Linked DNA regions of Elephas maximus indicus. The protein of the gene in region 2 interacts with the protein of the main gene of each other region in a biochemical or structural test. Links are inferred from orthologs where the notes say so. Each region holds a gene or a part of one and is shown on either strand. Other genes may lie near its edges. The genes, in order: BIRC3, RIPK1 and OTUD1.

What was found.
Region 1: of the proteins of RIPK1 (region 2) and BIRC3, one has a biochemical effect on the other in vitro, tested with the Homo sapiens proteins (5 studies listed by BioGRID, with this or other methods). The link is inferred for Elephas maximus indicus from reciprocal best matches to the Homo sapiens genes RIPK1 and BIRC3.
Region 3: of the proteins of RIPK1 (region 2) and OTUD1, one has a biochemical effect on the other in vitro, tested with the Homo sapiens proteins (2 studies listed by BioGRID). The link is inferred for Elephas maximus indicus from reciprocal best matches to the Homo sapiens genes RIPK1 and OTUD1.

The regions. Positions count from the first base shown.
Region 1 is NC_064825.1:18,277,904-18,281,503, forward strand, and holds the start of BIRC3 (baculoviral IAP repeat-containing protein 3), read right to left. Parts: upstream 2,296-3,600; 5' UTR 2,166-2,295; intron 1-2,165. UniProt on the Homo sapiens protein: Multi-functional protein which regulates not only caspases and apoptosis, but also modulates inflammatory signaling and immunity, mitogenic kinase signaling and cell proliferation, as well as cell invasion and metastasis.
Region 2 is NC_064819.1:43,623,596-43,627,414, reverse strand, and holds the start of RIPK1 (receptor-interacting serine/threonine-protein kinase 1), read right to left. Parts: upstream 3,034-3,819; 5' UTR 2,753-3,033; intron 2,743-2,752; exon of another isoform or gene 1,971-2,742; intron 1,532-1,970; exon of another isoform or gene 1,456-1,531; intron 765-1,455; exon of another isoform or gene 631-764; intron 1-630. UniProt on the Homo sapiens protein: Serine-threonine kinase which is a key regulator of TNF-mediated apoptosis, necroptosis and inflammatory pathways.
Region 3 is NC_064822.1:32,368,936-32,372,754, forward strand, and holds the start of OTUD1 (OTU domain-containing protein 1), read right to left. Parts: upstream 2,475-3,819; 5' UTR 2,378-2,474; coding exon 941-2,377; 3' UTR 1-940. UniProt on the Homo sapiens protein: Deubiquitinating enzyme that specifically hydrolyzes 'Lys-63'-linked polyubiquitin to monoubiquitin.

The DNA.
Region 1 (3,600 bases), on a different chromosome or scaffold from region 2:
GGGATCCCATCCTATCCCACTGCCTCAGAAGTCTTACTCCTAACCCTATCGCCCCTCATTTTTTTAATGTATCTACTGAATCTTTTCCTTCAACATGAATCTTTTCCTTCAACATAACAATCATGCTTAAGTCTGTCTCAGCTTAAAATGAAAACTAACAAAATCCTCTTTCAATCCCACTTTACACTCTAGCCACTACTCTTTTTTTTACCTTCCCTTCATAGCCAAGCAAACTTCTACTGATTATTGTTAATATCTCCACTTTTTCCCCTCCCATTTACTCCTTAAACCACTACAACTGGCTTTAGTCAGCACCACTTGAAACTGCTCTCTGTACTAATGATTCCCACCGTTTCTCTGCCAAAAGCAATGGAAATTTTCGCATCTGACACTGGGACTCACACCCTCTTTGAAATGCTCTCCTCCCTTGGCTTCTCTGAATTCTTCCACTATTAGAATTCCTCTTTCCTTTCTAGTACAGTCACTATGAGTCAAAATTGACTCCACTGCAACAGATTTTTTTTTTTTTTCCTCAAATTGACTCAGGTCTCCAGCTTCTTCTCTTCTTACTCTAATATTTGTGGTGGGTTGTTGGGCATCCTCACCCTCGTGGGCACTCGGCATATCCATCGCTCTCACAGAATATCTATATCTCTGACACTGGAGAGTAAATGTGCCTTTTTTTTTCTGCCTCCTCCTAGGCTGTGAGAGCTTTCAGAGCAGGAAGTATGTTATATCTCTACTGCCCCCCAGCATCCACAGGGCCTGGCCTATAATGTATGTAGCTATTAAAGACTGTTTGTTGAAGTGAATGTAAGCAAACTTGATTGAGCCCTGTATGACTACAGTACCCTCATTTGCAGGGTATTAAGGACTTCAATGTTACATTAATGACCACAAAATTTGTTGAGTCTGGTTTAACATCAGGCTTTGGAGTCAGACATCTTGGGTTTCCAATGCCATTCTGTGCCCCCTTACTAAGGGTAGAGCTTTAAACAGGTAAACCTATATAAGCCTTGTTTCCTTACTGTCACTTGGAGATAACCGTGGTACCTGCTCCTAAGTCCGTGCGAACTAAACGCAAAAAATACTCATAAAAGTTTCCGGAACTTGCCCTAGCGCGTAATACTGTCGTTGTTAGGTACCGTGGAGTCGCTTCCAACTCACAGCAACCCTATAGGACAGAGCAGAGCTCCCCCATAGGGTTTCCAAGGAGAGGCTGGTGGATTTCAACTGCCCACCTTTTGGTTAGCAGCCGAGCTCTTAACCACTGCACCACCAGGGCTCCTATAGTACTGTTAGCAACACTTAACGTTAGCAATAAATTTTAGCTAACAAAGGTAATGTTATTGTTAGTTACTTAAAAAAAAACATCAGTTAAATACCTTCGGCAATTTAACAGATCTAAGAGCGCTGCTGGGTTTCCATGCTGATAACCAGGAAACCCGCCAAAAAAAACCCCCCTGGTCTTTCTGCGACCACTTGGGAAACATTCCTCTATTTGTTCATTGAATATTTGATTGAGTCCTTCCCGTGCCAAAGATCTGCTTGAGGCTCTGTCCCGAAGCTTATTTGTCACCTCAAAGACCCGGTGATACCTCTTGATAATCGAATTAAGCCAAATGCCAAAGCTTCACCATTCCACTGGCTCACCCCAAAAGTAGAGCTGGCACTGAGCTCCCGAGAGGTAAGCGGATCGGGGGTACGATTCGGCTAGGGCAGCGCAGGGACCAGCTCGCACCGGCCCCGGGACCCTGCAGCCGGGCGCCTCCCCGAGGCGGAAAGCGCAGAGTCGCGGCGTCTGCGGATGGGACCGGCCGGAAGAGCGCGCGGGGCACGCCCAGGAAGAGGCTCCCGGGCTGGCGGGGACCCGCTCTGAAAGCTCTGTTATCTGAAAGCCCTTCTGGGTTCGGGAGCTGATCTGGGGCCGGCCTCTCGGGCCTGGGCAGTGTTTGATGAGCATGCCACCCCACTGACCTTCGCCCTCTGCAGCTGCCTGCAGCCCCCGGGGGAGCAGCAGGCCCGGCCGGGCGCCGCGCAACCCGCCCTCCCCTGGCGCCGCGGCTTCGGTCTCTGGGTCCTACCCGCGCCGGGTGGGAGTGGGGCCTGCACGCGTGCTCACACGCGCGCACACTCACGGCCGCCCGGGTCGCGTCGCCACCAACCTGCTCTCCCGAGGTGGACGCGCTCCAGCACCGACGTTGCTAGTCTGCTTCGGTGACACCTGCCGCCGGGGCGGTTCCGCGCGGGTTGGAGCCTTGCGCTCTTTTAAATACCCCGACTTTTGTCCCTCCTCCTCACTGGTTTGCATGTAAACTGGTGCTTTCCTCTTAGGACTTAGGGGAACTCCGGCGGTAATAACCACATATAGTTCCCTTAATCAGTAGCCTGGCAAACCCGGTCGGGGATTTCCATGGCCCTAAAAGCGTCACTGTTTCTTAACTAGTGGCACATCCGCGTGGCATTTACTGAAAAAACCTTTGCTTCATTGCTCTTGGGTCAGAGGAAACCCTGATAAGCGGAGTAGAGATGATCATTGGTCAGCCTAACTGGAAAAGGTCAGTCCTCACCGCTACCCCTTCAAGCCCCAAACACTTTACATGTAAAAAGCGTTAGGTTTTCCAGTATTTAAAAGAAAACTGAAACTTTGTGAAATCTTTATGATTATTTTTACTTTTGTTCTGTCCCAGAAAGTTCTGTCCCAGGGCAGACTTGGCTATTTTTCAGAAATCCTCCTTTTAGCCTTTTTGTTTCACAAAAGAAGTCTCTTAATTTCAGTGACATTTTCGTGTAAACCCAGAAGTCTGGGAGTCTAACTGCACTGCCACCGTTGCATCAACTTCGCCTGTCTAAGCAGTATATTTAGCTATGTCAGGGAACAGAGGGATTGCTCGTCTGGTTTCTCTGGCTTCTGGGAGAGTCTGTAGATCCAATAGGCCCTGTAGACCAAAGACAGTTATGAGCCAAAGGTACAACCCACATACGTTATTCAGGACTTCATCATCCTCGGAAATCAGAAGGGCTCACAGTCCGCTCAGTACAGAATCCAGCTGGACTGAGGTACCTTCTGGATTAGGAAACTGCTCAGAGCAGCTAGAGTTCGAGTTGGAATTATATCTGAAAGACTGTTTATCTATCGTGGAAATTTCAACCTACTTTTGAGCCTACGTAGTTCAAGACTTTTTAAAGCATTTTCAATTCACCCTTAACATTATCTAAAACATTTTGTGGTCTTCACACATTTTTAATCATATACTCAGCAAAAGAATTTTTAAAAACTCTATATTCCCTCACACATTTTTAACTTAACACCTTTTTTTAATATATTGTCATAGTTGCAAAGGATCTGCAAAATGTAAACACATTTTAGAATAAAATTGAAACAGCACCTTTTTAAATGTATTTAACTACCAGATGCCATGAAGTAGATTCCGACTCAGGGACACCTCATGTTTGTCAGAGTAGAACTGTATTCCGTAGGGTTTTCTTTCCTTTCTTTTTTAAAATAATATTTTATGGTGTTTTTGCTGAAAGTGTACACAGCAAATTAGGTTCCCATTTACCAATTTCTACACAAGTTGTTCAGTGACATTAGTTATA
Region 2 (3,819 bases):
ATAATGTTTTGATGCGGGTCACAAAGTAGCGCCTGTTTGTTATTACAAACCACTGTATGTACCTCAAATTTTTAATATAATGGCTTTATATGATATTAAATATACACTTAATATAATATAAAATTCATAACTACATGTTGTACATAAGTTGATGTTCATAACCCAGGGGCTGCCTGTAGTCAATTTTGTAACCACTGAATATCTTAGGAAGACCTTGAGAGTAGTTTAATGAGGGATACCCAAGAGACACATAAACACTAACTGTAGGCATGCAAAGAACAGCATTATAAAGAATAGTTAATGACGGCACACTAGCTTGTGAAAACATGTTATGATAACCGATTTCAACTAATGATGTAACTGGGTCCATTTCAATGGAATCTGTTAGTGTTTCTGCACAATGGCTGCTATGCAAATGACTGTTAATTCAAAAATGGCAGTTAAATTTTTTTCCCACTGAAGTTAATAAGAAATTTCACAGATTGCTTCCCAATGCAGGGGCAAGTCTGAATACCAAAAGATTCATATTTACCTTTTAGTGGTCAATTTTTTCACCTAATTTATTTTTTCTTTATTTTTCAACTATGACCCTACATAACAAGCGTGTGACAGACAATGCTGGTTGCCTACCTATCTGCCATTGCGCCCCCTCTTCTTATTAACAGAAGCTGATTTTACTCAGGTATCCAACACAACCAAAAGGCTTCTCTTTAAGGTTTCTTTATTTTAATCTTCTCATGCTTAACCCAAGACAAACAGGAATTCTAAGGAAGAGCCAAATGATCAGTAAGAGACAGTAGGATTGAAAACTTTATATCAATTATCCCATCATGACCCAGTGAAATAAGTTCTTTACCATCATTCTTAATTTACAAATGAAAAAACTAAGTTAAGTGATTCACCCAGAATGGCCAATCAGGAATCAAACCTTTGTCCCTTCACTCCAATTTCTATCATCCATTCTCTAGTTTCTCTGGATCGCAAACAGTGACTTGTCTTTGGAAAAATCCAGATGCAGAGACCCAACCTGACAGCCTTGCTCACCTGTATGAGTCTGCTATAGTCAGAAACACAGGGAATGCACAGGCTAAATTCTAAAAACATGAAAATACATAGCTCAAAACTCAGCATTATACAAGTTAAAATAACCAGTTGCCACGAAGCTGACTCTGACTCATGGTGACCCCATGTATGTCAGAGTAGGACCGTGTTTTCAATTGCTGATTTTTCACAAGAAGATCAGACCTTTCTTCCGGGCAGCTCGGGGTGGACCTTCAACCTTTTGGTTAGAAGCCAAGCTCATTAACCACTCAGGTTAATATACATAGTCAATCACTTTTGCCAGAATAAAATATCCAACCAAAGCATGGGAAGCTAGATTTGTTTTTCAAATTCCCAGATTATATCAGCAGTGTTAACATGTCATGGATTAATAAACCCAAAATAGTAGCTCACCTAGTTTGGAAGTTGATAGTTTGCCAATTTTACTCAATACTCATTAACATTCAAATTCCTGGAAGTACAACAGATCCTGGGGCTCAACATAGTTTCAGAAAGAAGAAGAAAAAAAATTAATCATTACTGCTGTTGTTTTCAGGAAGAATAATGATGATACACTCCAAATCTCATTCTAGGCAAGCTGAATCCTCCCTTTTTTGTATAGAAGAGCCACAGTCTTCCACATTTTTAAACCAACCACAAGTCTCTCCGACTCACGCACCTCTACGCTGGTTACAAAAAGTCCACTGAGTACTAAGTTACTCAGTATTTCAAAGTTCACTCCTTGCCTTGGTGACTTCAGGAGTAAATCAGGAAGAATTAATAGTGATCTAAAGACCAAAAAAAAAAAATTTTTTTTTTTTTTTTAAGACCCAAGGCTTGCTCCAGCGTTCTTTGATTATAATAGCCCCGTGCTCTGCCCAATATAAACAAGAGCTCTGAACACAGAAGAGCCAAAGAAATCAACAGACCCCGGAGCCTTGTGATTCTGTCAAATGCTTAGGAGAGGATGATGCAGCGTGTACTTTTCCGAACGCTGACGAGATTTTGGAGCACTTCACAAAACCCAAAGCCACGACGACAGAAGATTCCTTCTAGGGTTCTCACACTCGCTCTCTTGTTGCTGTGGCTGTTGACCGCTCCTTTCCCATCTGCCAGCTCACGTCTAAGATAAAGAGAAATGCTGACGTCTTTGCAGCCTGTTGAGGCTCCCTGTGCGACAGGCCCTTTCCAAGGGTAAGTGAGCAGTCCCAGCCAAAGACACCTAAGGAACCCTGTTATGGCAAGAGCACGCGCTACTCTTAATGATCCTGCAATAACACCCTGCATCGCTACCAACACAGCACAAGTAACAACCACAGCGTCTGTTCGCAGTCCCATCGAGATGGTCGCCCCAGACCAGGTCGCGGCCCTGATCCGGGACTCGAGCCCACACCAACACTTCCTCCTCTGAGGAAGGGGCGCGCAGCCCTGGCCGGCCGCGGACCCCAGGGCGCGTCTCGCACACCCGCCTTCCGGGAACGCGCGCCCCGCCCGCGCCCGCACGCTGGATTCGCTTTCGTTTTCGCCACCAACTTCCTCCGGCCCGAGTGGGGAGAGTTAGGGGTCGCTGACGCGGCGGCCTCTCCAGAGGGCAGCAGGGAAGGGAGCCCAAACCCCCAAAAGGGGCCGCCCTGATATAGGGCTCGGGGGACGGGACCGGCCCGAGGAATGACCGCCGTTCACTCAGCGCCGCCCCGCTAGGCACGCTCACCGTGCTCGGCTCCTCGCGGGCCCCAAGGCCTGGCCTTGACCACTGCGCACGGGCGCCGCGGGCTGCGGGCCGCCGTCTTCGATTTGCGCTTCGCAGGGTAGCCAGGTCCAGAGGCCGCTCCGTGCGTGTCGAGTGTCGGCCGCGCCCAGGGGTACTCAGGCGGGAGGCGTGGACCACTTGCAGCTCCTACGCTGCTCCGCTTAGTTCTCCTCCTGATCCTTTTCCACCTCTGGCCTCTCCTTCCTCAGCAACTCAACTTCCTTCTCCTGATCTTCCTCCTCCTCCTCCTCCTGCTCCTCCTCCTTCTCCGGCCCCTCCTCCTGCTCCAGCTCCTCCTCTTCCTACTCCAGCTCCTCCTTCTCCACCTCCTCCCCTTGATCCTTCTCTTGCTTCTCCTTCACCTACTCCTTTTCTCACTCTTCCTCCTCCTCCTCCTGCATCTCCTTCACCTGTTCCTCCTTGTCCTCCTGCTTCTCCTCCTGGTCTTGGTCCTCCTGATCCTCCTCCTGCTCCTCATCCTCCTCCACCTGCTCCTCATCCTCCTCCTGCTCCTCATCCTCCTCCTCTCCTCCTGATCCTCCTCCTGCTCCTCATCCTCCTCTCCCTCCTCCTGATCCTCCTCCTGCTCCTCATCCTCCTCCCCCTCCTCCTGATCCTGCTCCTCATCCTCCTCCCCCTGCTCCTGGTCCTCCTTTTGCTGTTGGTCCTCCTCCTGCTCCTGATCCTCCTTCTGCTCCTGGTCTTCCTCCACCTGCTGTAGGCCTCCTCCTGCTCCTAGTCCTCCTCCTGCTCATGATCCTCCTCCTACTTATGGTCCTCCTTCTACTCATGATCCTCCTTGACCTTCTCCTCTTCCTTCTCCCCATTTTCTTCCTCCTGCTCCTGGTCATCCGACCTGCGCGGGAAGGAGGGAAGTGGACTCTGGCCCTACTAGCAGCCAGTGGGACAGGAGGAGATCTTGAGGGAGGAGGGGGGTGATACCCCTCATACATTCCCAAATGTCTTTTCACCACCACTCTGAGATTGTGCCCCCAGATTGAAAATCCCAGAGCACTGTCTCTCTTTAC
Region 3 (3,819 bases), on a different chromosome or scaffold from region 2:
TATAAAATAACTGCCAAAGTTGGAGGCATTTATGCTATTAGTTTTTAAATACCTTGGGTGAATCCAAGTAGCTATACAAAGCAGGAGGCTTATCTTGTCACAAAGTTTTATACCATGTGAAAATCCTTCTATAACAAAATGACAAATACAAACTGAGAGCACCAGACAATCTACTTAAACATCAACCAGAGTACAGAAGAATCACTCTGCCATCTGCAAATCTCTGACTCTCATTCAAGTAAGTGCTGGTACTACCCCTAAAAAAAAAAAAAAAAAAATCTCCCCGCAACGTTCCCTTAAGTACTTCTTTAAAAGACTGACCATTTCTAGAAAAATAAAGATCCCAAAACGACAAATCTGTTTCCGTTTAAACAAAATGGAATGGGCCAATAATCTGATAACATGAACTCATCGATACCTATCTGAAATAATTATCTAAGAATTGTAAAATCCAAATTTCAACAACATAAAATAACTATTAAATCACAAACTCTGTTCAAAACGATAGACTTCATATAAAGCACTTCTCTGGAATTATGCCTGAAAGCTGTTTGTCAAAACGGAACACGTCACAGATGAAGGTACACCAATTTTTAAAAGTGTTGTGCAAAAATACATTTTTATAGAAAATAGACTGCCAGGAATGAACGAATTTACACTGTGAGAAATTAGCTTGCAAATCAAGTAGTGCTAACTTTATACAGCAAATTATAAATAGCAGTAGGATTACCCAAAGCTCTCATAAAACATCATTTAGGTGCCCAGCAATCTTCAGCTCTGGGGAGAAAACAGGAAAAAAAAAAAAAAAAACCAAGATTAAGGCATTACATCTACAGTACATCTACGAGGAAGTTTAAAAGTGCTATTACTCTGAGTTCGTGTAATTCTCCAAACACAAGCTACTTAGGCAATTTTCCCAGGGTGTTGGTTTTCAAACATTTCAAGAGCATGCATTTTGTTCAATATACATTTTGGATAGAGATATTGCCATGGATTTGGCAAGCTCTTCATCGCGTTTTCTTTGCACTTGAGTTTGTTTGCACCAATTGTCATACTCCGGGTTAGGGTATGAGTGATCAAATACCGCATCATAGTGTCCATTGCTGAGCCAACTGAGCCAAATACTAGGCCTTAGGGAATCCTCGGGGCCCAAATAGTGGATCATGGTAGACACGGTGGGGCTCTCCAACCTCCCTCCTGTCGTTAAATGTATATTCACATTCAGCATCTGTCCCATCGCCAGCAGTTCGGGGTACCCGGCCCACGCCCCGTCTTGGGCCGCGGCGATGAGAAACTCCCCCACGTCCCCCTCGATCAGGGGGCTGAAGTGGTCGAGATGATCAGCGATGTAGTGCACCGTCTGTTCCCTCAGCTCCCGGTGCAGGCTCTGGTTTCCGTACACCGTCTTGCTGACCGCTCGGTAGAGGCAATTGCCGTCGGGAATGATGTGAAATCGGTACTTATTCCTCTGTCGCAGGTACTTGTCCTGCTTCTCCACCTCCGCCAGGTACAGGGCCAGTTTCTCGTCTCTGGGATCCGACCTGGCGACGATTCCCGCCTCCGCCGCGCTTCTCTGGGCGCCCTCGCCGCCCCTCGTGGGGGGCGCCTCGGCCTCCGGGTCGGGCCGCCGCGCCTCGTCCGCGCCCGCAGAGTCGCCGCCCGTCTCCCAGCCCCGGGGGCTCCTCTCCGCCGGGTGCTCCTCGCTCCACAAGCCGGGGCCAGGCTCCGGGCTCCCCGGGGGCGGCCCGGGGCCTCGGTGCTTGGCGGCCGCCAGGGCCTGGCGGTGCTCGCTCAGTCGGAAGTTTCTGTCGGGCCCGTCCCGGGCCGCGTCCAGGCCGGCGGGCTCGGGGCCGTCGGGCCTCAGCAGCTCCTCCAGCAGCCAGGCGGAGGAGCCCCGGCGCGGCGGGACCGGGGCGCCGGGCGTCGGGGCCAGCAGGAGGCAGCGGCCGCGCGGGGCGGCGGCGGGCGCCGGGGCGCCGGGCTCGGGCCCGTGCAGAAGCAGCCTGTCGGCGCCGAGGGCCCGCACGGTGATCTGCGCCGTGGACGTGTAGTGCGGCGGCAGCGGCGGCTTGCAGGACCCGCCGGCCGGGCTGGCGGCGACGGCCGAGGCGGGGGCGGCGGCCCCGGACACCATCTCGAAGCAGGAGGAGAAGGCGGGCATCTTGGCGGCGGCGGCGGCGGCGGCGGCTTCCCTGGGCTCGGCGGCCGCGGCGGGCTGGCACTCACCGGTCTCGGGCTCTGGCGCGCTGCTGGCGGGTCCCGGCGGCTGCAAGGAGACCTTGAAGGGGGCGGCGGCGGCGGGCGCGGCGGCGGCTGCGGCCGTGGGACCCGGTGCCCCGGCTGGGTAGTGGGTGCAGACGCTGCTGTAGAGCTGCATCTCCCTACCCGCCGCTCAACCCTTATAGGCGCAGCGAGCCCCCGTGCGGGGACACACCCTCCGGGCCAGGGGGAGGGGGCCGGTCGCTGCCGGCCGAGAGCTATGACCCAGTGCCCCGAGAATAGCGATGAGCGAAGGGCCACCAGCAGCCTCCTGCAGAGCGTCAAGAACCGCAAATAGCGCCCGGGTCCCCGCCAAATTCCTGCTGCGCCACAGCGTGCGGTGGGGGCGGGGAGGCGACGCGCGCTCGACCCCTGCCGGCGCACTCGGCCCGCAGACCCGGGGCACCGTGCCCGCTCCCCTCGCTCCGGCCCGCGGCGGGCGCTGGGGACTGTCGGAGGAAGCCGCCCGCCCCGCTGGAGCGCGTCCCGCTGGCGAGAAGCAGTGCAGGGCGCGCGGAGGGGGCCGGGGGCGGAGCCGCGGCTTGTTTACCTCAGACCGCGCGGCCGGGTCACGTGGCCCCGCTGGAATGTGCGGCTCGTCGCTGCGCCCCATTCACTCGCTAGGGTTCGCCCCGCCCCCTCCGGCCCGCGCCCGCCTGCCGCTGGGCGTACGTCACGGGCGTGGCCGGCTGAGCTCGCCGCGCTCTGGCGGGCCGGGTGGCGGGCGCGCGCGCGGGGCCTCGGGCGGGGGAGCGCTAAGGCTTAATGGCCTGCTCGGCCGTGGGCTTCCTGGTCGGAGCCCGGGTGACTGCTGCGGAGCGCTTCGCCTGCCACAGCCACAGGTTTCCGCGCTGTACCGCTCTCGGCGGACTGGCGGGATAGGCGCTGTCTGGGGCAAGCTAGAGTGCTTTGAAAGCGTGCTTTTCGGAGAGGCTTCCGAACTCGGTGTGGAGGACAGAGCTGCCTTAAACGTGTTTGTCCCCTGCAGGTTCCTGGGCTATCACTCCTGCTTGCGTTCACCACTGTCGTCTTTTTGACCTAGTTTCTTGGGTAAAAACGCTAAAGCCTCGTGGTTCCCCCCGCCCGCCTAGGGTGTTTCTGCCCTGCAGAAACGAAACTAACTTTGCGGCTTGTCTAACTCCTACCAGTCAGCTGGCGCGTTCTTTGGTCGAAAGGAAGCCCTTAAAACAGCCTTTCTTTTAATCTTTTTAAAGTGTGCAGTCGCACTCATAGGTTATGGACGGGTAGAGTGAGTCGTGAATTGGATCCTGAAGAGGGAGTACCCGGAAAAAAAAACAGTAGGATATTGAAAACATTTTTACTGAACTATCTTAGTATTGCCCTCTTTGTAAAAGAATATTCATATTTTCAAAGCTTTGACCAAATGCTAAATAAAAAAAAAAAAAAAACCCGGTACCCTCCAGTGGATTCCGACTTCACAGCGGCCCTATAGGACAGAGTAGAACTGCCCCATGGAGTTTCCAAGGGCTGCCTGGTGAATTTGAACTGCCAGCCTTTTGGGTAGCAGCCAAAGCAGTTAACCACCATGCCACCAGGATT